4 linked regions of the Anolis sagrei genome follow. The protein of the gene in region 3 purifies or fractionates together with the protein of the main gene of each other region. This does not show direct contact. Links are inferred from orthologs where the notes say so. Each region holds a gene or a part of one and is shown on either strand. Other genes may lie near its edges. The genes, in order: UBXN7, COPS8, CUL2 and ARIH1.

What was found.
Region 1: the proteins of CUL2 (region 3) and UBXN7 purify together in Homo sapiens (affinity purification with mass spectrometry; 6 studies listed by BioGRID and IntAct, with this or other methods). This does not show direct contact. The link is inferred for Anolis sagrei from reciprocal best matches to the Homo sapiens genes CUL2 and UBXN7.
Region 2: the proteins of CUL2 (region 3) and COPS8 purify together in Homo sapiens (affinity purification with mass spectrometry; 4 studies listed by BioGRID and IntAct, counting the BioPlex papers as one, with this or other methods). This does not show direct contact. The link is inferred for Anolis sagrei from reciprocal best matches to the Homo sapiens genes CUL2 and COPS8.
Region 4: the proteins of CUL2 (region 3) and ARIH1 purify together in Homo sapiens (affinity purification with western blotting; 3 studies listed by BioGRID and IntAct, with this or other methods). This does not show direct contact. The link is inferred for Anolis sagrei from reciprocal best matches to the Homo sapiens genes CUL2 and ARIH1.

Annotation. Positions count from the first base shown.
Region 1 is NC_090023.1:226,435,262-226,443,101, reverse strand, and holds the start of UBXN7 (UBX domain-containing protein 7), read right to left. Parts: upstream 3,013-7,840; 5' UTR 2,941-3,012; coding exon 2,868-2,940; intron 1-2,867. Other genes in the region: E3 ubiquitin-protein ligase RNF168, read right to left, coding at 7,055-7,840. UniProt on the Homo sapiens protein: Ubiquitin-binding adapter that links a subset of NEDD8-associated cullin ring ligases (CRLs) to the segregase VCP/p97, to regulate turnover of their ubiquitination substrates.
Region 2 is NC_090021.1:163,148,405-163,156,219, reverse strand, and holds the start of COPS8 (COP9 signalosome complex subunit 8), read right to left. Parts: upstream 3,005-7,815; 5' UTR 2,920-3,004; coding exon 2,833-2,919; intron 2,592-2,832; exon of another isoform or gene 2,385-2,591; coding exon of another isoform or gene 2,382-2,384; intron 1-2,381. UniProt on the Homo sapiens protein: Component of the COP9 signalosome complex (CSN), a complex involved in various cellular and developmental processes.
Region 3 is NC_090026.1:114,119,544-114,127,306, forward strand, and holds the start of CUL2 (cullin-2), read right to left. Parts: upstream 3,003-7,763; 5' UTR 2,586-3,002; intron 1-2,585.
Region 4 is NC_090029.1:26,571,655-26,578,653, reverse strand, and holds the start of ARIH1 (E3 ubiquitin-protein ligase ARIH1), read right to left. Parts: upstream 3,004-6,999; 5' UTR 2,706-3,003; coding exon 2,304-2,705; intron 1-2,303. UniProt on the Homo sapiens protein: E3 ubiquitin-protein ligase, which catalyzes ubiquitination of target proteins together with ubiquitin-conjugating enzyme E2 UBE2L3.

The sequences.
Region 1 (7,840 bases), on a different chromosome or scaffold from region 3:
TAACTTCTGGTTTGTTAGTAAAACCATCTCAAGCGCGGTTGGTGGGGACAAGAGAGAGGGCCTTCTTGGTGGTGACTCCCTCGGCTCTGGAATACCCTCCCAAAAGAGATTAGATTAGCCCGCACCCTTCAATCCTTCCGTTCCAACCTGAAAACATGGCTGTTCAAACAGGCTTTTGAATTCGAGTAGGCTGAATGGGCCCATATGAAGTTAAGACTTGGTACTTTGTGAATTGATGGTAGCTAGTTTTATCTGTTGTTTTAAAAATTGTATTATTTTGATTTTATGCTATCTGTGTTGACAGGGGTTGTTGTTATAATTTCATGTGACTTGTTTTATACTTATGTACTGTTTTTACCTGTTGTGTGCACCCTGGAGTGCCTTTGTAAACTGCCCCAAATCCCTTCATGGAAATAATGGTGGGATATAAATAAAGTTTATCATTACTACTACTACTACTACTACTACTATTATTATTCCTGTGCCATGAAGTGATACATGTCTAAAACATGTGTTACCAACATGAAATGTCTGGAAAGCTCTGTCTCAGCATGGAGGCTTTGAATTTGTTTTAATGATTTTTGACTGGGAATTTTTAAATACTAGTTATATTTAATGCTGTTTTAATGTTCGTATATTTGTGTATTTTAAATACCTATGCTGAGTCTCCTTCGGGGGAGATAAAGCAGGATATAAATAAATATAATAATAATGATAATAATAATAATAATAATAATTAAAAGGGAGAAAGAGAGAGAGAGAGAGAATAGCGTAAGTGCCAACTGGTGACAACTCCCATGATTTCTATGTTATGAAGTGCCAACTGGTGACAAACTCCCGTGAAATCATGGGAGTTGGAGTTTCACAAGGTCTTTAGCCATCAATGCTAAAGAATGCTGGTGCCTCACCAAACTACAACTCCCATGATTCTACAGCATTGTCTTGGCAGTTGAAGTGGTATCAAAACGCATTCATGTACAGCACTCTCTGACAAGAGAAGTCTAAAGACCTTGTGAAATTACAACTCCCATGATTCCATAGCATGGAGCCATGAGAGTTCAAGTAGTGTGAAACTGCATTCATTTACGGCATTTTCTGAAAGAGAATGCTAAATGCCTTGTTAAACTACAACTCCCATGATTCCACAGCATTGAGTCATGATAGTTCAAGTGGCGTGAAACTGCATTCATGTACTGCATTCTCTGACAGAGAAATCTAAATGCCTTGTTAAACTACAACTCCCATAATGCAACAGCATTTGAGTCATGACAGTTCAAGTGGCATGAAAATGCATTCATGTGCAGCACTCTCTGACAGAGAAATCTAAATGCCTTGTTAAACTACAACTCCCAGAATGCAACAGCCTTGAGCCATGAGAGTTCAAGTGGTATGAAACTGTATTCATTTATGGCACTCTCCGACAAAGCCTAAAGGCCTTGTGAAACTACAGCTCCCATAATTCCACAGCATAGAGCCATATCGGATCAAGTGGTGTGAAACTGCATTCATTTCTGGCACTTTCTGACAGAGAAATCTAAAAGCTAAATGCCTTGTTAAACTACAACTCCCACGATTCCACAGCATTGAGCCATGACAGTTCAAGTGGCATGAAACTGTATTCATTTATGGCACTCTCTGACAATACCTAAAGATTTTGTGAAATTACATTACAAGTGGTGTGAAACTGCATTCATTTACGGCACTTTCTGACCGAGAAATCTAAATGCCTTGTTAAACTACAACTCCCATAATGCAACAGCATTGAGCCATGAGAGTTCAAGAGGTATCAAACTGTAATCATTTATGGCACTCTCTGACAAAACCTAAAGGCCTTGTGAAATTACAGCTCCCATATTTCCATAGCATGGAGCCATGTCAGGTCAAGTGGTGTGAAACTGCATTCATTTACGGCACTTTCTGACAGAGAAAGCTAAATGCCCTGTTAAACTACAACTCCCATGATTCCACAGCATCTAAATGCCTTGTTAAACTCCCATAATGCAACAGCATTGAGCCATGACAGTTCAAGTGGCATGAAATTGTATTCATTTATGGCACTTTCTGACAGAAAAAGCTAAATGCCTTGTTAAACTACACCCCCCCCCCCCATAATGCAATAGCATTGAGCCGTGACAGTTCAAGAGGCATGAAATTGTATTCATTTATGGCACTCTCTGACAAAGCCTAAAGGCCTTGTGAAACTACAGCTCCCGTGATTCCATAGCATAGAGCCATGTCAGGTCAAGTGGCGTGAAACTGCATTCATTTTTGGCACTTTCTGACAGAGAAAGCTAAATGCCTTGTTAAACTACAACTTCCATGATTCCACAGCATTGAGCCATGACAGTTCAAGTGGCATGAAACTGTATTCATTTATGGCACTCTCTGACAATACCTAAAGGCCTTGTGAAATTACATTATAAGTGGTGTGAAACTGTATTCATTTACGGCACTTTCTGACCGAGAAATCTAAATGCCTTGTTAAACTACAGCTCCCATAATGCAATAGCGTTGAGCCATGACAGTTCAAGTGGCGTGAAACTGCCTTCATCCTGGATGCTCCCCAACACAGAGCAGGGCTTGAGGGGAGACTGTCCCACTGCGCTGCCCTGTGTGTGGCCTGCCTGAGTGCCCATCGCCTTCCTCTCCAACACAACAGCCCCGCCTTTCCTCCAATGGAATGTCCCTCCCGCTCCTCCTACGCAACAGGCACTTCTCTAGACTCGGCAGCGCCTCGGCTTCTACCACAAGGCCCCAATTGAGGGAGAGAGAGAGGGGGCCCCCACCCCCTTCTTTTCTTTCCCCCAAACTCTCTCTCCTTTCTGCTCCCCAAAAGCGCAAAGGCCTCCCCAGCTCGTGCGGCTCACCCGTGATAGCGGTGAATTGCTGGAGTAACCCCTTCAGCGCCGAGGCGGCAGCGGAGCCCCCGGGCGCCGCCATCTTGCCGCCGCTCTCCCCCGAACAACACCGACCCGCCACCTGCCGACCCCACCGCGCAGGCGCAAACAACGCCGCGCCCCGATTCGTCCGGCGAGCTTTCAATTTCAACATCAGGCTGTATTGAGCACCGGAAGAGGAAAGCACGCAAGCACCGCCCCTCTTTGCTAAACTTTTTGCTATCAGGTCCTCCCAGCTCGTGACACCCCCTAGTGGCCGGCGGAACCCAATCCCCAAACTGAGAAAAAGGAGGCGTGAGAGCAGGCACGGGCAAACTTGGGCCTTCCTCCAGGTGTTTTGGACTTCAGCTCCCACAATCCCTAACAGCCTCAGGCCCTTTCCTTTTTCTTCTCAGCTGTACACTGGTATTTGTAGCTGATGTTTCTCAAATAAAGTTTGAGTTTTTCATATCCAAAATACTTGATTGTGGGTAACGTGATTTTACAAGCTGGATTTTACAAGCTGGAATGTGTCCAGAGGAGGGCGACTAAAATGATAAAGGGTCTGAAGAACAAGCCCTATGAGGAGCGGCTTAAGGAGCTGGGCATGTTTAGCCTGAAGAAGAGAAGGCTGTGAGGAGATATGATAGCCATGTATAAATACGTCAGAGGAAGTCATAGGAAGGAGGGAGCAAGCTTGTTTTCTGCTTCCTTGGAGACTAGGACGCGGAACAATGGCTTCAAACTACAAGAGAGGGGATTCCATCTGAACATGAGGAAAAACTTCCTGACTGTGAGAGCCGTTCAGCAGTGGAACTCTCTGCCCTGGAGTGTGGTGGAGGCTCCTTCTTTTGAAGCTTTTAAACAGAGGCTGGATGGCCATCTGTCAGGGGTGATTTGAATGCAGTATTCCTGCTTCTTGGCAGGGGGTTGGACTGGATGGCCCATGAGGCCTCTTCCAACTCTTTGATTCTATAGCTGTAAGGGGTATTGTTTATGTTTAATTGTCCTGTCCTTTAGAAGAAAATTGAAGACTTTGCTTTGGGACCAGGCGTGCAATTAGTGGACAGCAGTAATTGGAAAGAAAAATTGGATACTACGACATTGATTTAATTCCCAGACTTGGATTTGGTTTTAACTAGCGTGACTAATTTACTGTTTAGTGAATTGTTTTAATGTTTTATTGTAATTGTTTATTATTTATATGATGATAGCATCATACAATGTTTATGTGAGGCTGCCCTGAGTCCCCTCTTGGGGGGAGAAGGGTGGAGTCAAAGTGTATGAAATAAATAAATAAATAAATGCTTTTAACCTCGTTTAGATTTTAACAAAATATTTAATTGTTGAATTGCTTAAGGCATTGAATTTTGCCTCTACTGTAAGCTGCCTTGAGTCCCCTTCAGGGTCGAGAAGGGCGGGATATAAATACAGTAAGTAAGTAGTTTATTATGATCAATGACCAGATCACAACATGGGGTTATACACTTCAAACATCAACAAATTTTAAAATCTAAACTAAAAACCAATACAAGTAGTTATTAAAACCTAACTACTAGTTTTAATAACTACTAGTAAGTAAGTAAATAAATAATTGGGATCAGGAGTTTTGGAATATCTGTATTTATATATACAGCTGGTCCTCCATATCCACAAATTCCACATCCATGTATTCCACTGTCAATGGCTTGATTTTTTTTTTAAAAAAATCAAAAATAAAACTTTGATTTTACCATTTTATATACTGTGTCATGTATTTAATGAGATATAGGGGGAAAGGAAGGGGCCTGAAGCTGTTCGGAATTATGGGAGTTGAAGTCCAAAACACCTGAAGGCCCAAGTTTGCCCATGCCTGGTGTAGATGATTTCAAGGCTGGTGATCTGATAATTCAGATGTGGAAAGGATCAAATTGAGTGTACAGTTGTTGTTCTCTTCATGTTCCACTGAAAAAGGTTGTTCGTATTCTTGTCATTCAGGGACACCCAATTGGGAAAATGCGCTGATCTGAAGACTTCAAGTTATCTTTTACACTAGTTATAGCACTATGATGCCACTTTCACTCCCCTGGCTCCATTCTATGGACCTGTGACATTTGGAATTTTGAGGTGTATTTCAAGTTTTCTTTTAAGAGAATTCTAGAGCTACGCCGAACTACAAATGCCTGGATTCTTTGGAAGCAGCCATAGCAAATAAAAAGGGCCTGTAGTGCTATACTTGTGGAGTGTGAAACAAGTGCAAGTCCACTTTGCTTGGTGTTTTTAGTGAGGGAGCTGACAACAATCCTGTGAGGGCAGACAATGCCCCCCCCCCCCCGATATAGCAGATCTCTAGCCTTATGATTTTTCCAGAAATTTGAGATTTTTGGAAGACATCCTGTTTGTATTCACAAGGTTGGTGGTTACATGTAAAGGATTTCCCTATGGCAGCACCTCTACTAGGGAGCTGCCTACCCAAGGAAGTTTGGCTGACTTCACTTCTTTCGGGTAGACTAGTTGTTCCCAACCTGTGGCCCGCAAGAATGAAAATATGATCAGCTGCCTCACCATTACTACACTATTGCCTTGAAACCACGTGGCAACGAGAGTGACTGGTCTCATGGTGAGGCAATGGGGATGTTGACAGGGGAGAGGCTGACTACCCACAAAAAATTACTACTACCACATCAGCTCTAGATTATTAAATATGGTTTTCTGTGGGCAAGCAGATGGAGACTACTGGGTGTATGTTCTGTATCAGATACTAGAGCAGATGTGGTCTATCCAATGCAATTTTCTGAACTGGCACCCCAAATAACCAAACCGAATCTAAAGTTGATCAAAAACTGATTAGTAACCCTTTTGATACTAACGTTGGAGAGTGGTCCCTAGTTAAAAAAAAAAGTTGGGAACCACTGCAGTAGACAGACAAAAACTGGTTCCACATGGTATTCAGTGTCAAAAAGTCATAGTTAATCATTTCAAAAATGGATTCCAGAGTTATTTTAGCATGCTTTTAGGGGTTGAAGAATATTTCAGTGCATGTTTATTTTTTAATCTCAGTATTGTCCAATTTCTTTTTATTTGTTCACTTTGTGGGTTGAAAAGGTATGCAGAAGTACTTCAATTAATAAATATAATTTTGAGCATTCCATTTCCAGAATGCTCAAAATATTCCAGGATCCCAAAGGGCCCACACGGATGCCTTGACTGTGCAATATCTTTGCTTTCTGATATTTCACTGTACACAAATTTTGTTTAATGTATAAAGTTTTCTATTTCTTCAATTGTAAGATGTCACTGAGTGTAAGCCACAGTTTAATTTCAGTACCAGCACCACCACCAACAAAAATATATAACATACACACCTGCTATTTTAAGACACGCCCTATTTTTAGAGATATTTACACAGAAAAAGTATATCTTAGAATTGAAGAAATACAGTAATTATAAATATTATATAAAATAACCTTCAGTCTATGGGTATATGATGTATAAGAGACATACATGATTTTGTGTATAGACTTGGATATCATCTCCAAGAAACCTCATTATGTGTATATATCCAAATACAGCTTCTGACTCCCAGTAATTTCTAAAGATATTTCAAAATGCATTCAGAAGAAGTCCATTGACACTACATTTGTAATCTCAAGAGACTTAAAAGTCATTTTAATTGATGATGTTCTAAACAAATTATAAACTGATGAATCTGAAAAACTAGTCTACTTGGGAATACCTGAAGGCATCTTTGTAATCTGTTGCAAACATCCATAGAGAAAGATTTCTGGAATATTTAACATATAAATCTTGTAACTTGTAAACAAAACAAACAGCAGGAATGGTAGTATATTTCTATAAATGCATCAGAAATTATGCTCCAGTCTAAATCAAAGCCATTTGCTCTTTTCTGATATATTTACAAGGTAGAGGTGTAACAGGGAGTTGCTTTGTTTACATATTCTGACACTAAACTACCAGATGTATAGTACATGAAGCTTAAAGCAAATATTCCTGGCATTCAGAATTACCTAATGCCATACATGTACTAGGAAGGAAAAAGAAGTCATACCTAACAGCTACAGAGCAGGCACTACTGGTTTTCAACCACGTAAGTGGGAGGAGCTGATCAATTTTTCAAGACAAAGTCCATTGTTTAATCCCTTTCTATACTATAATTCTTCACATCAACTATTGATCTGCTAGTTGGTTGCAGGTCTCTTAAACATCTGAACGATCGTTTTTTGTTTGCTTGGCAATAATGCTGAACTCTTAGAGGCAGGGCTGTTAAGGACACAGTTCAAAACATTCCCTCCTTTTGGAGATGACTTTGTCTGAAGTTTGTTAGAGGGCTTCTGGTTCTCATTATGAGAGCTTCTTCGTAATTTTCGTTGTTCTCTGTCAGTCTGGCTATTCTTGCAAGGTTTCCTAAGCACCGGAGATTCCTTTTCGGACTGAGATGTTTTAGGGCGTAAATGGTACTCATCTGGAGAGCCTTTTTTGCGGTTTAGTGTTTTCTGTTCTTTGTCTACTTCCCTCTGAAGCTTCAGAGCTAGAAGTCTATCTTCTTCTTCTTGCTTATATCTTTCATAAATTTTCTGCTCCAAATGTATTTGTTGTTGTATATCATACATATCTTCATCATCTATTTGTGCAAAAGTTCTTCTTCTTTTATCATTCATAACCAAATCCACCACTGCTTCGGAGGGTGATTCTTGAGATTTTCTCTTAGGAATCCCTGTAGTAATCAGTTTTAGTGACTCATTTTTATTTTCCATTGTTACTTGGTTGCAAGTTGGAATGCTACAGTCTTGCTGGCTATCAGATGTTACAGAAATAAGTGTTTCCTGGGGAGCAGCATTTCCTGGATGGTTTGGCCAATCCAGGTTTCCTGTAAAATTGTCTTTTTTTACATCATAACCAGCCATACCGCTCTTTGAGAAAAGACACATAGTTTCACAGTCTTCCCTATATGTGACACTAGCAAG
Region 2 (7,815 bases), on a different chromosome or scaffold from region 3:
AACAAAACTCACAAACCCCCCAACGAAACTTAACCAAAATTCCCATGCCCATAACACAACCCATAAGGTACAAACATATCTACTCAAAATGAAAAACAACACAACAACACACTCACAAAATGGCAAAACAACTGAGCATGCGCATTGGTGCCCAGCCGCAAGTTCCCTGGCGCGCGCACACAGTTCCCTCTGCGGAAGCCATGCCCACTCCAAGCCCCGCCGCGCCGCTTCCCGCACACACACCCCCGCCGCACGCACACACACAACCCCACGCTCCATCACTCCCCCGCCGCACACACACACGCAACCCCACGCTCCATCACTCCCCCACCGCCACACACACACGCGCAACCCCACTCCCCCCCGCTGCCGCACACACACACGCAACCCCACGCTCCATCACTCCCCCCGCTGCCGCACACACACACACAACCTCACGCTCCATCACTCGCCTGCCCCAATCTTACCTCCTTTTACTTCATGCCACCTCCAAACCCCACCGCACCCCTTCCCGCCCTGTCAAAATCCAGGAAAGACAGGAAGGAAGGAAAGAAGGAAGAAAGAGAAAGGGAGATAAAGAAAAGGGGGAAGGAAGGAAAGTTAGAGAAAGAAGGAAGAAGAAAAGGAAAGATGGAAGGAAAGAAAAGAGAGACAGCAGAAGAGAAAGAAAAAGGGGGAAGGAAGGAAAGAGGTAGAGAAGGAAGAAATGAGAGACAGAGGGAGGGAAAGAAAAAGGGGGAAGGAAGGAAGGAGAGAAGGAAAGAAAAAAGGGAATGAAGGAAGGAAAGAGGGAGTGAAGGAAGGGGGAAGATGTAGAGAAAGAGGGAGGGAAGGAAAGAAGGAAAGAGAGAAGGAAGGAAAGAGGCCAGAAGAGAAAGAAAAAGGGGGAAGGAAGGAGATAGAGAAGGAAGAGGAGAAGGAAAGATGGGAGGGAAGGAAGGAAGGAGGGAAAGAAGGAGAGAAAGAGGGAAGGTTGGTCACAGCAACACGTGGCGGGTAAAGGTTGTTATTTCTATGATTATTATGATGCTATTATTCCTATGAGACCCTTTTAGGGGGAATGGGAGAGGTGTCAGGTCCCGGAGGCAATGCATTGCATTATTGTTATTGTTATGATGCTGGTGAAATAAAAGGAAATAAAAAGTGAAAGAAGGAAGCAAACAGGGAGGGAAGAAAGGCAAAGGAAGAAAGGGGGAGGGAATGAAGGAAAGAGAGAAGGATGAAACCAAGTAGTGAAAGAAAGAAAGAGGTAGAGAAGGAAGAAAGGAGAGAAAGGGGGAGGAAAAGGGGGAAGGAATAGGTAGGGACCTCTCTTTCATAATAGTCCAGATATCTACCTCAACTTTGATAAGTTTTACTATAGGCCACAGCAACGCGTGGCAGGGCACAGCTATACAAATACCAAGAAGATCACATCTCATGAGATGTTTTTCTCTAATCTGAGTTTCTCAAACTGTATTCCTCCAGATGTTTTGGACTTCAGATCCCACAATTCCTAACAGCTGGTAAACTGTTAGCATTTTTGAGATCTGAAGTCCAAAAGACCTGGAAGAGCAGAGCTAGTTTGAGAAACGCTGCTCTTCATTCATATGAATTTCTTTGAAATCACGGCAACTGTGTTTTAAAAACTATAGGTGCATCCATACTGTGGAAGGAATGCAGTTTGAGAAAGTTTATACACTACCATATAAAATGTGGCTCTTAATGAGACATGCCGTATTATCATGGGGTGTCTGCGCCCTACACCACTGGAGAAATTACACTGCTTAGCTGGTATTGCACCACCTGACATCTGCCGGGAAGTAGCAGCCAATAGTGAAAGGACCAAGGCAGAGACATCTCCAGCTCATCCCCTGTTTGGGTATCAGCCAGCACGTCAACGACTTAAATCAAGAAATAGTTTTCCAAGATCTACAGAGACACTCGCTGGAACACCTCAGCAAGCGATAGTCCAAAAGTGGCAGGCTCAAACCCAGAACCTCAACCGATGGCTGATACCAAATGAGAGACTCCCCCCTGGGAACACAGAAAACTGGGCGACTTGGAAGGCGCTGAACAGACTGCACTCTGGCACCACGAGATGCAGAACCAACCTTCAGAAATGGGGCTACAAAGTGGAATCCACGACATGCGAGTGTGGAGAGGAGCAAACCACTGACCACCTGCTGTGATGCACCGTGAGCCCTGCCACATGCACAATGGAGGACCTTCTTGCAGCAACACCAGAAGCACTTCAAGTGGCCAGATACTGGTCAAAGGACATTTAATCAACTACCAAACTCACAAATTTTGTATTTTGTCTGTTTGTTTGCTTTGTTATGTTAGAAATGTAATATAATTGATTGGTTGCACTGACACGACAAATAATAATAAATAAATACCATATAAATCCAGACTATCTTCTTTGAACTGGATTATTTAGCAATGTAGACTCATATAATCGAAGCAAATATTGTGGACTATCTGCTTTGATAATGTGGATTATATAGCAGTGAAGGGGACACCACATGGCTGAATGCTCTGGAATCACAGTGTTTGTAGTTTATTGAAACACTCGGCAGAGGAGGCTAAAAGGCCTTGTAGAACTACCACTTCCATGCGTCCCAGAATTAAGCCATGGTAGCCAACCGCACTCATTCTAGCATGTGTCCATAGAGGAACTGGTGAGGGCGGCCCATTCATTCCCACTTTGCTCCTTCGGCCTAGGGAAACCCCGGCTTTCAGGCGAGACGGTCAAACCCTGGGTTTGTGAGGGTGACGAGGAGGGCCCCGTCCCAGACTCGAAAGCGAGAGGCGAGGAAAGCCTATTCCACGCCCGGTTCCCTTCCTGACCTCCAGCTCCTGAGTCTCGCATTGCTCCAGCAGCTTCCGGTAGCTGAAGGCGCCACTCGCCGCCGCCGCCATCACGGCCACTGGCATCTTCGCACCCTGTCCCACTCCCGCCGATGAAGCGGGAAGACGGGTGCTTCCTGGAGACGGAGGTGGGACCACCGCACGCTGCTACGTACTTCCGGCCTCACCGTGGTGACGTCTCCCCAATCCTCTCCAGCGATTCGCCAGTTTGTGACGAGCGGGTCCCGCTTTAGGAGAACGCTCAGGACCATAGAGATAGAAAAAGGGAAGAATGCCGCGTGACCCGCATTTAAAGTTTTAGCCGGTTGATAGTGCATCTAAAATAGCAGGGGTCCACAAACTTTTTAAACAGAGGGCCAGGTCACAGTCATAGAATCATAGAATCAAAGGGTTGGAAGAGACCTCATGGGCCATCCAGTCCAACCCCCTGCCAAGAAGCAGGAATATTGCATTCAAAGCATCCCTGACAGATGGCCATCCAGCCTCTGCTTAAAAGCTTCCAAAGAAGGAGCCTCCACCACACTCCGGGGCAGAGAGTTCCACTGCTGAACGGCTCTCACAGTCAGGAAGTTCTTCCTCATGTTCAGATGGAATCTCCTCTCTTGTAGTTTGAAGCCATTGTTCCGCGTTCTAGTCTCCAAGGAAGCAGAAAACAAGCTTGCTCCCTCCTCCCCGTGGCTTCCTCTCACATATTTATACATGGCTATCATATCTCCTCTCAGCCTTCTCTTCTTCAGGCTAAACATGAGCCTCAAGCCGCTCCTCATAGGCTTGTTCTCCAGACCCTTGATCATTTTAGTCACCCTCCTCTGGACACATAGAATCATAGAATCAAAGAGTTGGAAGAGACCTCATGGGCCATCCAGTCCAACCCCCTGCCAAGAAGCAGGAATATTGCATTCAAATCACCCCTGACAGATGGCTATCCAGCCTCTGTTTAAAAGCTTCCAAAGAAGGAGCCTCCACCACACTCCGGGGCAGAGAGTTCCACTGCTGAACGGCTCTCACAGTCAGGAAGTTCTTCCTTATGTTCAGATGAAATCTCTTCTCTTGTAGTTTGAAGCCATTGTTTCATGTCCTAGTCTTCAGGGAAGCAGAAAACAAGCTTGCTCCCTCCTCCATGTGGCTTCCTCTCACATATTTATACATGGCTATCATATCTCCTCTCAGCCTTCTCTTCTTCAGGCTAAACATGCCCAGCTCCTTAAGCCGCTCCTCATAGGCTTGTTCTCCAGACCCTCAGTCTCCCTCAGTCCCTCAAACTTGGAGGGCCGGATTATAATTTGAAAAAAAAAACATGAGTGAATTCATATGTACAGTGCACATATATTAACTGTAATGCAAAAAACACGTAAAATTAATATAATAATTAAAATGAAGAACAATTTTAACAAATATAAGCTTATTAGTATTTCAATGAGAAGTGTGGACCTGCTTTTGGCTGATGAGATAGGATTGTTGTTATTGTGTGCTTTCAAGTCGTTTCAGACTTAGATTGACTCTGAGCGAGGAACAGGTAAATGACCTTGGAGGGTCGTATTTAGCCCCCAGGCCTTAGTTTGAGGACCCCTGTACTATAGAATTCACTGTGACTTCACTTCACTTCACTTTATTTCTTAATTAGTCGTTCTCCACCAAGGGGCTCCGAGCGACTTACAATCTAAAATAGCATTTACACAATATAAAAACATTCAACATAAAAACATACAACAGTGACTATTTGGCAAATTAGATCTGATTACTTAAATGCACAACCAACCAAGTCTTGTGTGCCTTTACAAAAGGTCGCAACTCCGACATTGCTCTAATGTATGGAGGCAATGAGTTCCACAGAATTGGAGCATAGGTCGAAAAAGCTCTACGCTTTGTAGTGTTAGAAACCCTAAATTGGGTCGTTTTAGGTCCACGTTGCAGGAGCACGGAAGGAAGAAGACAGTCCCAATGAAAGATTAAAAAACAAGGTTTTATTTTAGTTTCTTCATGAAGAAGACGGACAGCCGGGCAGCATGCGCAGATGCTACCCTTCAAATGACTGCCGTGCCCCCTTGGCTTTTGACCACCAAATATATAACCTCAAGTAAACAAGAACATTTTTTGTCATGGAAAAGTACTCCCTTTCCACCCCCCTCTCTTGACTTTTTGATGGAAAGTACCTTCTTGTATATGCAGCCTCTGCGCTTCAAAAACAACATTTGAAGTTAACCACAAGCATCCTGTGTAAGAAAGTTCCCTCTTGTACTTAAAAACATTTTCTTCCGTATCCTGGCAATCCAGACAACTTAGACAATTGGATTATGTTGGCCAGGAGAGTGAAATACAACAAAGAGCAGATGCCGCGTCGTTCCAGAGAGGAGGGCCGTACCAGGCATCCAGCGGTGGGTCAAGCCGGAGGGATGTGACACCCTTCCCCAAGAGGCTGGTCGATGAGCAGAGAGAGGAAGGGAAGGCGAGGGACATGCTTCACATGTGGGTGCGAGGGCCGGTGGTGGCAGAATGCCCAAAAGGAACAAGCCTGATCATGGGTGATAAACCCCCCAGCCAAAAACCATCACCTGCTCCCAAAGTTGCAAAAGGGAAGGCCTCCACTGCAACAGCAACGGCTTTAGTTCCCGCCCATCTCCCTGCCGAAGAGGTTGAGCTGGAGGAAGGAGAAATGGAGAGCTGGTTGCAGGGAAATGACAGCGATCTGCTTTAGGCACCTGATTTTTTTTTGTCATGTCAGGAGTGACTTGAGAAACTGCAAGTCGCTTCTGGTGTGAGAGAATTGTCAGTCTTCAAGGACACCCGGATGATTTGATGTTTTTATCATCCTTGTGGGAGGCTTCTCTCATGACCCCGTATGAGAAACTGGAGCTGATAGAGGGAACTCATCCGCCTCTCCCCGGATTCGAACCCACTGCGCCACCAGGGGCTCCTTCTTAAGACAAGTTTTAATATGGGTATTTTAAAGAATGTTTTTAGATGAAAGTATGGTTTAACAATGTTGTAACCCACCTCAAGCCATGAGGAGAGGAGGGTAAGAAATAATAATAATAATAATAATAATAATAATAATAATAATAATGCAGCATATATCTCTCATTTGCTGTGACATACTGTGTTTTTGTGTCAGTCAAATAATAGTGTTGTATGATACAACTTTGATTGGCATGGCTCAGTGCTGTGGAAACATGAGAGTTCACTAATAGTCAACACGGATTTAGCAAAAACAAGTCATGCCAGACTAATCCGATCTCTTTTTTCGATAGAGTTACAAGCTGGGCAGATGTGGGGAATGCCATGGATGTAGCGTACCTGGATTTCAGTAAAGCCTTCGACAAGGTCCCCCATGACCTTCTGGCAAACAAACTAGTCCAATGCGGGCTAGGCAAAACTACGGTGAGGTGGACCAGTAATTGGTTAAGCGGACGAACCCAGAGGGTGCTCACCAATGCTTCCTCTTCATCCTGGAAAGAAGTGACAAGCGAAGTGCCACAAGCAGGGCTCTGTCCTGGGCCCTGTTCAACATCTTTATTAATGACTTAGACGAAGGGTTAGAAGGCAGGATCATTAAGTTTTGAGATGACACCAAATTGGGAGGGATAGCCAGTACTCCAGAGGACAGGAGAATTCAAAATGATCTTAACAGATTAGAGAGATGGGCCAAAACTAACAAAATGAAATTCAACAGGGACAAATGCAAGATACTCCACTTAGGGAGAAAAAATGAAATGCAAAGATACAGAATGGGGGACGCCTAGCTTGAGAGCAGTATGTGTGAAAAAGATCTTGGAGTTCTCATGGACAACAATTCCGATGAGATGCCACATAACACCAATCTTACTGCAGCTGCATTGGTTACCAATTGAGCACCGGATCACTTTCAAAGTGATGGTACTTACCTTTAAGGCCTTGCATGGTCGGGGGCTGATGTACCTGAGGAACCGCCACACCCCCTACCAACCCCAGAGATCCCTCCATTCTGAGGACCAAGATTTGTTGGAAATTCCCAATGTCAAGACCTTGTGTCTAACAGTAACCAGACGCAGAGCCTTTACAGCAGTGGCACCATCACGCTGGAATACTCTGCCACCTGAAGTCCGTGCCTTGAGGGACTTATCAGCTTTCTGCAGGGCATGTAAGACATACCTGTTTCGACAGGCCTTTGATTTTTGATATTGCTGTTTTTAAATTGTTGTAAATTGTTTTTAAATCGTGTTAGATTTTAGCCTGTTCTTGTAAGCCACTCCGAGCCCCAGGGGAGTGGCAGTATATAAGTTCGAATAATTAATAAATAAATAAACATGAGCCAACAATGTGATGTGGCGGCAAAAAAAGCCAATGGGATTTTGGCCTGCATCAATAGGAGTATAGTGTCTAGATCCAGGGATGTCATGCTACCCACGCTCTATTCTGCCTTGGTTAGACCACATCTGGAATATTGTGTCCAATTCTGGGCACCACAATTGAAGAGAGATATTGACAAGCTGGAATGCCCACTTTTAATTGCCCCTAACACCAGTGATCATAATTAATGAAAGCTTATATTGGGCTACTGTGATTTTTTTAAATCTTATCTTGTTTGAATTGTTAAAACTTGAACTTACTCAATCACATTTAATTAATGGTGCAGATGAATTAGAAGTGGATAACAACAAGCAAGATATAGACAAACTCCAGAGTCATTTTAATGGTAGCTTAAAGTGCTGGAAAGCTGAGCTGCTCCTGCGAGCAGGAAAGGACAATTCATCTTGACTCCTAATTGCTACTGGAGCTGAAAAGAAAATAAATGGATTGTCATGTTAAAAACATTGTCATTTCTTATTATTTCTTCATTTATGTTATATCCCTGCCTTTTCCCTTAGTTAGCCTTTGCCTTTTCAATCCACACTTTGTATTTATCTCCTTGGTTCTCTTTCTACTATCATTTCTAAGAATATTTCAAGTAAAGGAAGAGGTAGGTGTTTAAAGATAAGGAGCCAC
Region 3 (7,763 bases):
TGGAGATATTTCAAAATCTAAAAGGAGTAATACCTAGAGTTAAAGATAATGCGACAAACTTAACTTTTGTTGTTGTTACTACAGTTTCCAGTTGGTGACTGGGAATAAAGGTATTGCACTCCTGACTTATGATATGTAGCAGTCAGAATCCCCCCCCCCCCCTTTTTGTATGTACATCATTCCAAGAGCCTTTCTAAAAGAGGTTTCCTAGAACAGCATAGCTCAAAGTGATAGTACTTGTGCCATTTTGAGTCACTGAATGCTGGTCTTTGGTGAATTTGAAAGAAAGACAGAGAGACATAATTGTAGCTAATGGACACACATAGGATACCAGTCCCCTAGGAAAAACTGCTGATTTTCCATGCCAGGATTCTTGAGAAGAACTGACCTAGAATACACACAGGTGATACAATAATTATGTTTGCTACAGCTGTTCATACCTTTAATTCAGGCCTCTACAGATAATTTCTGTAGATTTTCTTTTTTGAAGCAAAAAGAGCTCTGAATTAAACAAATATGCTATGGATGTTTTAAGGTTCCAAATTATAGATACAAACTGTAAATAAATGGCAGCTAGTTGTTTTGAAGAGCAAAACATCTATATTGTTTTGCTGAGATAATGTAATGAATCATTAGAACTAGAAGGGCTCCATAAGTCACGGCATCTAACCAACTCCCATCTCTAGCAGGTAGCTTGTCCAGTCTCTTTCTGAAGATTCCCAGAGAAACAGATTCCATCATATTTCTAGGTAGATTATTCCAGTCCTGGACAGCTCTTAAGAACTTTTTTCTAATGTTCAATGAAAATCTATTCTCCTACCTTCAAACCATTTAAACCTGGTCCTATGTTCAACGGTATCAGAGAACAAACCTGAATGAGTTTGCTATGGGGTCACAAGTAAGTTGTACTTCCTACTCCCAGGATTCCTATAACCATCACTTTTTATCTCATTTTATGACCTGAAATGAAAGCAAACCAGAAATGGTGGATTGAACAGCATCATCCCTTCCTCCAGTCGTTCAGTGATATATACTACAGACTTCTTGTGGTTTCTGAAGCGAGAACAAGGAGCCTACTTGACTACAACACATCTAAGTTATTTTCATAAATGCCTGGACTCATAAGGCTGAATCCAGACTAAGCTAGATGAGCTTTGAAGTTTCACTGGTTTCAATGGAGCCTAACTTTGTCTGAACCCAACCTGCAGCGATGCAAAGAAAGTGCATGAAACGTATTACCTATAAGTATTTTGACAGGCAACAAGCAACACAGAGAGAGAAAAGAAGAGCAAAGGATTGCTGTGAGTTTTCCAGGATGCATGGCCATGTTCCAGAAGCATTCTCTCCTGATGTTTCACCCACATCTATAATAATAATAATCAAACCTTTATTTCTAGACTACCCTCTCATCATAAAGTTTATACATACAAAAAGGCAAGCATTCAATGCCTCAAGTGAGTAAAACATATCAAAATAATACACAATAAAGCATCCTCAAAGTTTGTGAGGTTTGTTGGAAACTAGACAAGTTTGGGTGGCCCCCCAACTGTGGAACACCCTTTCAAAAGATCTTAGACAGGCCCCTACATTGGCAGTCTTTAGAAAGAACTTGAAGACCTGGCTGTTCCGATGTGCCTTTCCAGATTAGAAATCTCCAATACGAAGTCCCAGAAGCACTTTAGTAGAACTAAGATTGCTGCACACTGCACTTACCCTATAATCCCACATACCTCCTGTCACATCAGCACTTTTAATCTTGTACCCATTACTCTGGCCCGGCCCAGTTTTATAGTGTCTTGATGTATTGTTTATTGCTTGTTGTTAATATTGCTTTAACTGTTTTTAATTTGCTTTAGGTGTTGTATTGTTATGTTGAGTTTTGAGGCCTTGGCCTATGTAAGCCGCATCGAGTCCTTCGGGAGATGCTAGCGGGGTACAAATAAAGTTAATAAATAATAATATATAATAGACAAGTGGTGTTTATATATCTGTGGAATGTCCAGGGTGGGAGAAAGAACCCTTGTCTGCAGTTGCTGGGGTTTATAGTTCACCTACAATCAAAGAGAATTCTGAACCCCACCAACGATACAATTGGCCCAAACTTCCCATGCAGAACCCCCTCGACCTACAGAAAATACTGTGTTTTCTGAAGGTCTTTGGCGACTCCTCTGACAACCCCCCCACCCCCCACCCCCGCAACCCCTAGGTTGAGAACCACTGGTCTATAGGGTAGGCCTGGGCAAACTTGGGTATTTTGGACTTCAACTCCCACCATTCCTAACAGCCTACTACAGCTCCCAGAAGCCCCTGGCAGGCTGGAGGCTTCTGGGAGCTGTAGTAGGCTGTTAGGAATGGTGGGAGTTGAAGTCCAAAACACCTGGAGGGCCCAAGTTTGCCCAGATCTACTATAGTAGAGAGATATAGTGAGAGGGGGAGGAGGCCAAAGTCGGGCCATGGTGTTGCAGGGAAAGAATGCACGGGGCGCCCCAGAGGAGGAGGAAGAGGCGGCCAAGGGGTGTGGGGAGGGAGGGAGGGGGGGTCAGAAGGCGGGGTCCCTCCCCTCCTTCCTTCCTTCGCGGGGTTACCTGGCAACAGGAGAGGCCCGGGCCCGCGTCGTCTCCCCGTCCTCCCCCTCCGCCGTCTCTCTCTCTGTCTCTCTCTCTCTGGCCGCCCCGAAGCCTCTTCACTGGGCTGCCATTACCCAGCCGCCACGGCTGCCCGTTGACCCCGCCCACTGCCTTCCCAGCAGCCCGGCGCAACCGCGAAGCAGGCGAGGAAAAGAGGGAGGGAAGGCGGGAGTTCTGGCAGCCGACAAGGAGCCGGCCTTCTCTCCTTCTCTCCCTCTCAAGACTTCTATTCTGGACGCGCCACAGCCTCCATCTAAGTCGACTAGGTCAGGCTCCGTGAGAAGAGGTGCACGCCTTGGCCTTCCTCCCCCGCCGAGCATGAAGAGAATTGGTACTTCCTGAACTACGGAAAGCGCCGAGGGCCAACCTGCTGGCCCACTTCCGCTCCGGCAAATTAAATAAATAAGTGAGAGCTTCCTTCGGATGGAAAGGGGAGGGGAGTGCGCATGCGCTGAAGGCTTCTTCGGCTTTCTCAATGTAACGGGAGACGGAGAAGATTGTTATTGAATGGAGGTGAAATGTGGAGGTTTGTCGACGTCGAAGGGAGCGAGGAGGATGGAGGAGAGGCCTTTGAAGACACGAGGAGGGACTGAGAGGGAGAGGAGAGGCCGCAGCCCTTAGGCTTCCCCGAATGGCCTGTGTGGTCGAAGGATTTCATGGCCGGAATCACTGGGTGGCTGTCAGTTTTCAGGACTGTCTGGCCATGTCGCAGAAACATTCTCTCCTGACGTTTCGCCCACATCTATGGCAGGCATCCTCAGAGGGTGTGAAGTCTGTTGGAAACTAGGCAAGTGAGGATTATCTATCTGTGGGATGTCCAGGATGGAAGAAAACTCTTGTCTGCTTGAGGCAAGTGTGAATGTTGCAATTGTCCACCTTGATTAGTATTGAATAGCATTGCAGCTTCAAAGCCTGGGGGATCCTTTGTTGGGAGGTGTTAGCTGGCCCTGAATGTTTCCTGTCTGGAATTCCCTGTTTTGTGGGTGTTGTTCTTTATTGGTTGTGTCTTCAGGGGGTTGTGTCGGCGTATGGCATTCCCATGAATTGCTGGTCGCATCTGTGGCCAGAAGCGACCAGCAATTCATGGGATTGGGCGACTGGGCGACTTGGAAGGCATTGAACAGACTGCGCTCTGGCACCACGAGATGCAGAGCCAACCTTCAGAAATGGAGCTACAAAGTAGAATCCTCGACATGCGAGTGTGGAGAAGAGCAAACCACTGACCACCTGCTGCAATGCAACCTGAGCCCAGCCACATGCACAATGGAGGACCTTCTTGCAGCAACACCAGAAGCACTCCAAGTGGCCAGATACTGGTCAAAGGACATTTAACCAGCTACCAAACTCACAAGTTGTGTATTTTTCTGTTTGTTTGCTTTGTTCTGTTAGAAATGTAATATAATGGACTGGCTGCTCTGACACGACAAATAAATTCCCATGAATTTAAATTGTGAGTTTTCCTATAATAATAATAATAATACTTTATTTATGGTCTATAGGGTAGGCATGAGCAAACTTGGGCCCTCCAGGTGTTTTGGACTTCAACTCCCACCATTCCTAACAGCCTACTACAGCTCCCTGAAGCTCCTATGCAAGAAAAGATTGTCACCGGCAAAAGTATGACAGCTGGGATTCTACAGTAGTAGTTGGAAACCTTCGCTGGTTGCGCAATGCGGGGCAGAATTAATGAAGGGAAGACATGCACAAAGCGGGTCAGAAAAGATGGGTGGGGGACAACAAACAGCCAAGCATACTGCTTAAGGCGAGTGAAGTACCTTAGAGTTATTTACTGTTAAATTATAAACAATGGCTTACGAAGATGGTAAACGGGGTAGAAATGTTTCCTCTCCGCCTTTCTGGCGAGCAAAGTTCCCAGGACTCTGACGCAGCTGCGTCTCTCACTCGCTCTGCTGTCTTGTGCACCTCTTCCCTTCCTTAATTCAGAGCCGTGTTATGTAACTAGGGTAGCGTTGAGTCCCAGCTATCATACTTTTGCTGTCACTTCTTTTCTCCAAAATATACCCTGTCCCATGAAGCCCCTGGGAGTACAATGGGTTAAACTCTTGTGCCGGCAGGACTGAAGACCGACAGGTTGGAGGTTCAAATCCAGGGAGAGCAGGTTGAGTTCCCTCTATCAGCTCCAGCTCTCAATGTGGGGACATGAGAGTACCCTCCCACATGGATGGTAAAACATCAAAACATCCAGGTGTCCCCTGGGCAATGTCCTTGCAGACGGCCAATTCTCTCACTTGCAAATTCTCAAGTTGCTCAGGACACAGAAAAAAAACCCTGTCCTATCAACATAGTTATGAAGATTGGCCCTGCTCAGTTTCCAATATCGGAAGGGATCTGATGCCTTCAGGAGGGAGGTAAAATGCCTTATTAATCTGTATGGCTAGGCTCATATGCATTTATAGCAAGATTCAGAAGGCCTCGTGTTGCTTTGGGGACGGTGGAGGGATAGTTCATAGTAAAGGTAGGCCCTAGATGAAATGCAGCCCCATTCTATTTTGGCAGTTTCATGAAGGTTTCATGAAGATGGTTTCATGATGGTTTCATGAAGATATTATTATTAATAACAATAATAATAATAATAATATCTTCATGAAACCATCATAAGCAACTTTTATGGAGGTACATTTTATTGTGTGTATTTGTAGTGTTTTGCTGCATTTATGTATTTTAATTGTTTTGTAACCTGCCTTGAGCCATGAGGAGAGGTGGGTATTTATTTATCGTATCAGGAGCGAACCAATGTATTTGAGAAAGCAAATGAACTTTCACTGCTTGGGGTACCGTCATTTTGAAGGCAAAGTTTTAAAAACTTGGCATTCTATTAAATGTCCATTGACTAGTAGCTGGCCACTTGCAGTCCTCTGGTGTTGCTATAAAAAGATGCTCCATTGTGAATGTGGCAGGGCTTAGGCTGCATTTAAATAGGTGGTCTGTGGTTTGCGGGTAAGAAATTATTATTAAATTATTATCCATCCTGACCGATTGTTTTCCAGATGAAGAGTCTTGGAAGTGGGTCCATAAATGACTGTGAACTTTTCTGAATCCACACAGTCTTTCACATTGAGGATATGGGTTTCCAGATGGAAAGCAGTCAGAACAAAGGTTTACTTGACTTGACTCACCTTCCTCTTGGTGCGTTTCTCCTTTTCACTTTCCCAGTGTTGCCTCCAAAATGGCAATATCCCAAGCAGTGATAGTTCATTTGCTTTTATAGTTTCACAGGGTTGTGCCACCCTTTTGGGGCTTCTCTCCATCACTGTCAGACTGAGTTGGTTAAGACAATCAGGCAATTTCACATCAAGGTCTGTATCCTCTACTCTGCACCCTCCTTTTGTCTAGTTCTTATCAGTAGGAACTTGTTTCAAACCCACCATGTGCAATGCTAGCGCTGATGTCAATGGGGCAGGGTAGGGTCCAGCGAGCTTCTGGCTTAATAAGGCCATTTTTGTCTAGCAGGGCGGGTTATGGGATTCTCACAATAGATTCAAACCCTGGTCTGCCAGTGTCCTAGTCCAACATGCAGACCACTATGCTACCGCAGCTGTCCCATATCTGATTTTGTCGTAAGAAAGCCTTCTGAGTATCTGACTACTGGGTGGGTTGGAGTCCTCACTAAGGGGCCATCTGCACTTACCATTTAATGCCGTTTCAAACTGATATTGAAGAATATGGTTCTAATGTCTAGAACATTTGATTCTTCAGAGGCAAGAAAGGACCTTCTCAGAATCTTAAGACTAAGAACATCTGTAACTTCAAAAGCTTGGTTTAATAAATGTTGTTGAAAATTGAATATAGTCAAAATTGTAGACACAAGAAGAATTTTTTTACATTCTTTTTTTCTGCATCCTTCTTTGTGTCCTCATACAGATAAATAAAGAATTCTGCACTTAATATTCACCACTGGATTCTCGTAGCCACATTGTTACTATTAGGTAAAGGTTTCTCCTGACATTAAGTCAAGTCATGTCTGACTCCGGGTGGTGGTGTTCATCTCCATTTCGAAGCTGAAGAGCTGGAGTTGTCCACAGACACCCTCAAAGGTCATGTGGCCAGCATGACTGCATGGAGCACCATTATTATTATTAGTCAACAAAAACTCTTTTTTCTGGAACAAATGAACTATTCTTTATTCACCTTTCCCAAACAAATCTATGCTTCAGTTTAGCCTTTCCCAAGGTAGCATTTTCCAGAAGCATTGGACTATACCTCCCATATTCCTTAGTTGTTGGATTGGGATTTGTAGTCCTACATGTCTAGAAAGTATTACGTCCAAGAAGGCAATCGCGAAAATACTTTTAAAGGAGTCAAAACAAAAATACCACTAGGTGGCAACCTAACACACCTTCTATACAACTCTAACTCCTTTAAAAATCAGTCCTCAACACAGGAAATCTTGTTCCTCAATATCAGCAAATTAGTTTCCAATCTTTTGGAAATCCACTGCATTTCAGAAGTGAGAAAACTAAGTGTTCTTGAGATTAAAAAAGTATAGAAAATGTAGGGCAGTGACAAAACTATAGTCTTTCTTAGGCTGGTTTCTATAGTATTCTTGGCGTTGTTTGGCATTGAGCCATGACACTTACATTTGTGTCAGACTGCATGAATTCTACAGTGTAAATGCTCCCATAGTCTTTATTTATTCGAAAGTTGCACCCCTGCCACATTTTGAGAGGATGATTCAAGGTTTTTAGCCTTCCCTGCCAAAGAGTGTGTATTTAACCAAACTACATCTCCCAGGATTCCACAAAATTAAGCCATGGCAGTTATGATTTCTCAAACAGCATTAATTCTACAGTATAGGTGCATCCTGTGTCTTGAGACTGAACTGGACTGAAAAAACTGCTTGTATTGTGCCCAGGAGAGTCAGATTTTTTTAAAAAATGAATGGCAATAGGCACAAATCAAAGGCCAAAACAGATCGCTCTTGATTTGTCCCTATTTTGATTTTTTTAAAATCTCAAGCTACAGTTGTGAAAGTAAGCCATTTAATCCACTAAATGTGAAGAGACTACAAAACTGTAAGCAACTATTACCCAGCAGTAACAGTTAATTTTGATTTTTGCGTTGAGAGAACTGTCTCATGACACACTTGACCTCATGGTACTTACCAGCAGCGTCATC
Region 4 (6,999 bases), on a different chromosome or scaffold from region 3:
GCAAAGAGATGCGGGAACAGGAGGAGAAAAGAGGAGAGTAGGAGAGAAAGAAACAGAAGGAGGTGAGGGAGAGGTTCAAACAGGCACCAAGTGTTTTGGACTACAACTCCCACAATTCCAATCAGTCTGGTCTAAGAGTGGGATATAAATAATTAGATTTCTATTATTTATAGGAAAGAGATGAAGGAAGAGGAGGAGAGGAGGAGAGAAAGAAACAGAAGGTGGTGAGGGAGAGGTTCGAACAGGCACCCAAGTGTTTTGGACTAAAACTCCCACATTTCCAATCAGTCTGGTCTAAGAGTGGGATATAAATAATTAGATTTATATGATTTATAGGAAAGAGATGAAGGAAGAACAGGAGGAAAGAGGAGAGTAGAGAAAGCAAGGGAGGATGGGAGGGAGAAGAAAGGTGTGCCTGGAGGAGGAGGTACCATGTCAACCCTCCTGTTCAAGGAGCTCCACTGGCTGCTGTTTATTTTCCGAGCCCAATCTAAGGTGCAGGTGCTTACCTACAAAGCCCTAAACGGTTTGGGACCATCCTACCTGTGTGACCGCATCTCAGTGTATGAACCCACGCGCTCACTTCATTCATCTGGTGAGGCCCTGCTCGCAATTCCGCCTGCATTGCAGGCGCGTCTGGTGGGGATGCGAGACAGGGCCTTTTCCGTGGTGGCCCCCCAACTCTGGAACACCCTCCCCAAAGATCTTAGACAGGTCCCTACGTTGGCAGTCTTTAGAAAGAACTTGAAGACCTGGCTGTTCCGATGTGCCTTTCCAGAATAGCAATCCTCCAACAAGTCCCAGAAGCACTTTATTAGAAATTAAGATTGCTGGCACACTGCACTTACCCCATTATCCTTACATATCACCTGTCACATCAGCACTTTTGATCTGTACCCAATACTCTGGCCTGGCCCAGTTTTATTGTGTCTTGGTGTATTGTCTTATTGCTTGTTGTTGAATATTGCTTTACTGTTTTTAATTTGCTTTAGGTTGTGTATTGTTATGTTGTGTTTTGAGGCCTTGGCCTTTGTAAGCCGCATCAAGTCCTTCGGGAGATGCTAGCGGGGTACAAATAAAGTTAATAATAATAATTAAAAAATGTGTTTTGGACTACAACTCCCACAATTCTAATCAGACTGGTTCAAGAGTTGGATATAAAGAACTAGAAGGATAGGAAAGAGATACAGAAAGAGGTCGAGAAAAGCGGAGAGTAGAGAAAGCAAGGGAGGGTGGGAGGGAGAAGAAAGGCATGCCTGGAGGAGGCGGAGGTACCAAGTGTTTTGGACTACAACTCCCACAAACCCTATCAATCTGGTTCAAGAGTTGGATATAAAGAATTAGAAGGATAGGAAAGAGATGAAGAAAGAGGAGGAGAAAAGAGGAGAGTAGAGAAAGTGAGGGAAGATGGGAGGGAGAAGAAAGGTGTGCCAGGAGGAGGTACCAAGTGTTTTGGACTACAACTCCCACAACTCTCTGTATGTTTTGATATGGTCAAAATTGACTAATCAATAAAGAATTGTTGAGTGTCACAACTCCCACAATTCCTATCAGTCTGGTTCAAGAGTTGGATATAAAGAATTAGAAGGATAGGAAAGAGATGCAGGAAAAGGAGGAGAGTAGAGAAACCAAGGGAGGGTTTGAGGAAGAAGAAAGGAATGCCTGGAGGAGGAGGAACAAAGTGTTTTGGACTACAACTCCCACAATTCCTATCAGTCTGGTTCAAGAGTTGGATATAAAGAATTAGAAGGATAGGAAAGAGATGCAGGAAAAGGAGAAAAGAAGGGAGTTGAGAAAGCAAGGGAGGGAGAAGAAAGGTGTGCCAGGAGGAGAAGGTACCATGTGTTTTGCACTACAACTCCCACAATTCTCTGTATGTTTTGATATGGTCAAAATTGACTAATCAATAAAGAATTGTTGAGCGTCACAACTCCCACAATTCCTATCAATCTGGTTCAAGAGTTGGATATAAAGAATTAGAAGGATAGGAAAAGAATGCAGAAAGAGGAGAGTTGAGAAAGCAAGGGAGAAGAAAGGCATGCCTGGAGGGGGAGGAACCAAGTGTTTTGGACCACAACTCCCACAATTCCTATCAGTCTGATTCAAGAGTTGGATGGAAAGAATTAGAAGGATAGGAAAGAGATGCAGGAAAAGGTGAAGAGAAAGCAAGGGAGGGAGGGTTGGAGGGAGAAGAAAGGCATGCCTGGAGGAGGAGGAGGCCTCCCTCCTTCCTTCCACCCCTCCATCCCTCCTTCCTTCCCGCCGAGGGAGCGCGCCCCCGCCGCCCGCCCCTGCGCGCGCACCTGGATGACCTCGTTGACCTCCCGGATGCACTCCACCATGTGCTGCAGGATCTGCTCGGCCGTGAGCACCTCGTAGCGGTAGTCCTCCTCCTGGTCGTGGCCTAGTCCCCCTCCGGAGCCGGGCCCGCCCAGGCCGCTGCTTCCCCCGAGGCCTCCTCCTCCTCCGCCGCCGCCTCCCCCTCCTCCGGGCCCGAGGCCTCCCCCGCCGGTCTCTCCGCCGAGTAGGCCGTCCCTCTCTCCGCCCACGCCGGGCTCGACCAGCTCCACCTCGCCCAGGTCCAGGTTGCCGTCGTCGGGGTCGTCGTCGGGGTCGTCGTCGTCGTCGTCCTCCTCAGCGCCGCTGTCCTCGCTGCACTCCTCGTCCTCGTCGAACTCGTAGTTGTAGCCCTCGTCCGAGTCCATGGTGGCGGCGAGAAAGGGGAGGAGGAGGAGGCCGCTGAGGCCTAGGCCGAGGAGGAGGAGCGAAGGCGCCGGGCAGGCCCCGGCTGAGGGACTGACGGGAGGATGGGAGGGAGGGACGCGAGGGAGGGCTGCGGCCTAGCCCGCCTTCCTTCCTGCCTGCCTGCCTGCCTGCCTTCCTTCGGCGGAGCGATTCCCCAAAGCCGCCTCCTCCTCTGCCAGGCGCCGCTGAGCCAACAAAGGGACGCGTCCGGCCCGCTCCGTCACCTCCACGCACGCACGTCAGCGCGGACGGGGACGCAACCCCACGCCGCGTGTGGCGTCACGACGCCGCCGCCGCGCCGAAGGGCGGGAAGGGAACGCAACACGCCCCGCCCCCTTTCGCCTCCTCAAGCGCAGTCCGTCGGCAGCCATCTTGAGTGTGGCACGAAAGGGAACCACCAGCCTGCCTTGCCGCCGCCATCTTGTGGAGCCGGAGGGCGCGCCTTCTTCAACCGACTCTCAGGAAGGGAGTGGCTGCGGCCCACCATCTTGGGTGTGGCACAGCGAAAGGGGATGACATTTATAAATTGGCATGGGGGAAGGGCCAGCCGAGTTGGCTTATTGTATGTATATAGATATATATTGTATGCATATACATATATGTGTGTGTGTGTGTGTATACATATATATTGTATGTATATACAATATTTATTACTTATATATAATATTATTTTATATTATATAATAACATATATATAATATATATAATATATTATATAATACTTATTGTATGTATATAGATGGATGTCCGCCACCTTTGGCTGCAAAGGATGTAGTCAATCTGATTTCGGTGTTGACCGTCTGGTGAAGTCCAGGTGTAAAGCCGTCTTTTAGGTTGTTGGAAGAGAGTATTCGTTATACACAGCGAGTTTTCCTGGCAAAATTCTATCAGCCTGCGTCCCGCTTCATTTTGTTCTCCCAGACCATGCTTGCCTGTGATCCCTGTTGTCATTTGACTTCCCACCTTGGCATTCCAGTCTCCTGTAATGAAAGTAATGTCTCTTTTTGGTGTATTATCCAGTAGGTCCTGCAGATCCTCATAGAACTGATCTACTTCTGCTTCTTCAGCAGCTGTGGTTGGGGCGTATATTTGGATCACTGTGGCGGACATCCATCCAGTCGGTGAAAACAAGACCTGGGGCTGACTGTAGCTCAGATCACGAACTTCTTATTGCTCAATTTAGAACAAAACTAAAGAGATCAGGGAAAATACACAGACCAGTTAGATATGATCTTACTAACATTCTTAGCGAATATACAGTGGAAGTGAAGAACAGATTTGAAGGACTAGATTTAGTAAACAGAGTCCCAGAAGAACTATGGACAGAAGTCCGAGACATTGTTCAGGAGGCGGCAACAAAGTACGTCCCAAAGAAAAAGAAAACAAAGAAGGCAAAATGGTTGTCTGCTGAGACACTGGAAGTAGCCCAAGAAAGGAGGAAAGCAAAAGGAAACAGGGATAAGGGAAGATATGCCCAGTTAAATGCGCAATTCCAGAGGTTAGCCAGAAGAGATAAGGAACTATTTTTAAATAAGCAATGCATGGAAGTGGAAGAAGACAACAGAATAGGAAGGACAATTTCTTTTCCAGAAAATTAGAAACATTGGAGGTAAATTTTAGGCAAAAATTGGTATGATAAGAAACAAAGATGGCAGGGACCTAACAGAAGCTGAAGAGATCAAGAGAAGGTGGCGAGACTATACAGAAGATCTGTATAGGAAGGATAACAATATCGAGGATAGCTTTGACGGTGTGGTGAATGAATTAGAACCAGACATCCTGAGGAGTGAGGTTGAAAGGGCCTTAAGAAGCATTGCTAACAACAAGGCAGCAGGAGACGACGGGATCCCAGCTGAACTGTTTAAAATCTTAAAAGATGATGCTGTCAAGGTGATGCATGCCATATGCCGGCAAATATGGAAAACACAAGAATGGCCATCAGACTGGAAAAAATCAACTTATATCCCCATACCAAAAAAAGGGAAATGCGAAAGACTGCTCAAACTTCCGTACAGTGGCCCTGATCTCTCATGCCAGTAAGGTAATGCTCAAGATCCTGCAAGGAAGACTCCAGCAATACATGGAGCGAGAGTTGCCAGATGTTCAAGCTGGGTTTAGAAAAGGCAGAGGAACGAGAGACCAGATTGCCAATATCCGCTGGATAATGGGGAAAGGCAGGGAGTTTCAGAAAAACATCTACTTCTGCTTCATTGACTATTCTAAAGCCTTTGACTGTGTGGATCATAATAAATTGTGGCAAGTTCTTAGTGGGATGGGCATCCCAAGCCACCTTGTCTCTCTCCTGAGGAATCTGTACAAGGACCAAGTAGCAACAGTCAGAACTGACCACAGAACAACAGACTGGTTCAAGATTGGGAAAGGCGTACGGCAAGGCTGCATCCTCTCACCCAACCTTTTTAACTTGTATGCAGAACACATCATGCGATGTGCGGGGCTTGATGAATGCAAGGCTGGGGTGAAAATTGCTGGAAGAAACATTAACAACCTCAGATATGCAGATGACACCACTCTGATGGCCGAAAGCGAGGAGGAGTTGAGGAGCCTTCTAATCGAGGTGAAAGAAGAAAGCGCAAAAGCCGGGTTGCAGCTAAACATCAAAAAAACCAAGATTATGGCAACAAGAATGATTGACAACTGGAAAATAGAGGGAGAAAATGTGGAGGCCGTGACAGACTTTCCATTTCTAGGCGCAAAGATTACTGCAGATGCAGACTGTGGCCAGGAAATCAGAAGACGCTTACTTCTTGGGAGGAGAGCAATGTCCAGTCTCGATAACATAGTAAAGAGTAGAGACATCAGACTGGCAACAAAGATCCGCCTAGTCAAAGCCATGGTATTCCCTGTAGTCACCTACGGATGTGAGAGCTGGACCTTAGGGAAGGCTGAGCGAAGGAAGATCGATGCTTTTGAGCTGTGGTGTTGGAGGAAAGTGCTGAGAGTGCCTTGGACTGCGAGAAGATCCAACCAGTCCATCCTCCAGGAAATAAAGCCCGACTGCTCACTGGAGGGAAGGATACTAGAGACAAAGTTGAAGTACTTTGGCCACATCATGAGGAGACAGCAAAGCCTGGAGAAGACAATGATGCTGGGGAAAGTGGAAGGCAAAAGGAAGAGGGGCCCACCAAGGGCAAGATGGATGGATGGCATCCTTGAAGTGACTGGACTGACCTTGAAGGAGCTGGGGGTGGTGACGGCCAACAGGGAGCTCTGGCGTGGGCTGGTCCATGAGATCACGAAGAGTCGGAGACGACTGAACGAATGAACAACAACATATGGTATACTGCATATTTATATTTATATATAGACATATATGAAAAACTATATAATATACCGCCTCTCTCAGCCCGAAGGCAATTCGGGTTGGCCTAGTTTCTCATGTGCGTATATATGTTTGTGTATATAGATATATATACTTGAGCACACAACATATACACAACACATATATCACATATATACACATATATAAATATGCAAAATACTATACATAACTATATAAACAGTCAACATATATGCATATACACACAACACATAGCTTTTCATATATATGTCTATATAAGTGCAGTATTCTATATATATATAGAAGCACGATATTTGTGTTATGTGTATATGTATGTATATGTTTTGTGTATATATACATACCTATACCACACATAAACACACAACACATCGTTTTTAATATATATGTCTATATATAGACATTTATATTTATATCTATGTCTATATATAAATATACAGTATACTATACATACCTATATATGCACACAACATATATATATATATGCATACACAACACCAAACATAGTTATTCATATATGTCTATATATAAATATAAATATGCAGTATACCATACATATATATATATACACATAATCTATGCATATATATGTTGTATATAACACACACCTCATATATACACACAAACACATTATTTTTCATATATATGTCTATATAGAGACATATATAGACATAAATATGCAGTGCACTATATATGTTGTGTATGTGTATATGTGTGTGTGTTGTGTATAGTATATATGTGTGTTTATGTATAATATATTGCATATTTATATTTATATAAAGCTATATGTATGAAAAACTATATATATATATTTCTATTTTTGTGAGTGTTGCAATTATTTATTTGATGCTTTCTCTCTCTCTATATATATATATGTATATATATATATGCTCACACACACACATAGTATGTGAGTCCCAAAAGTTCACATACATATG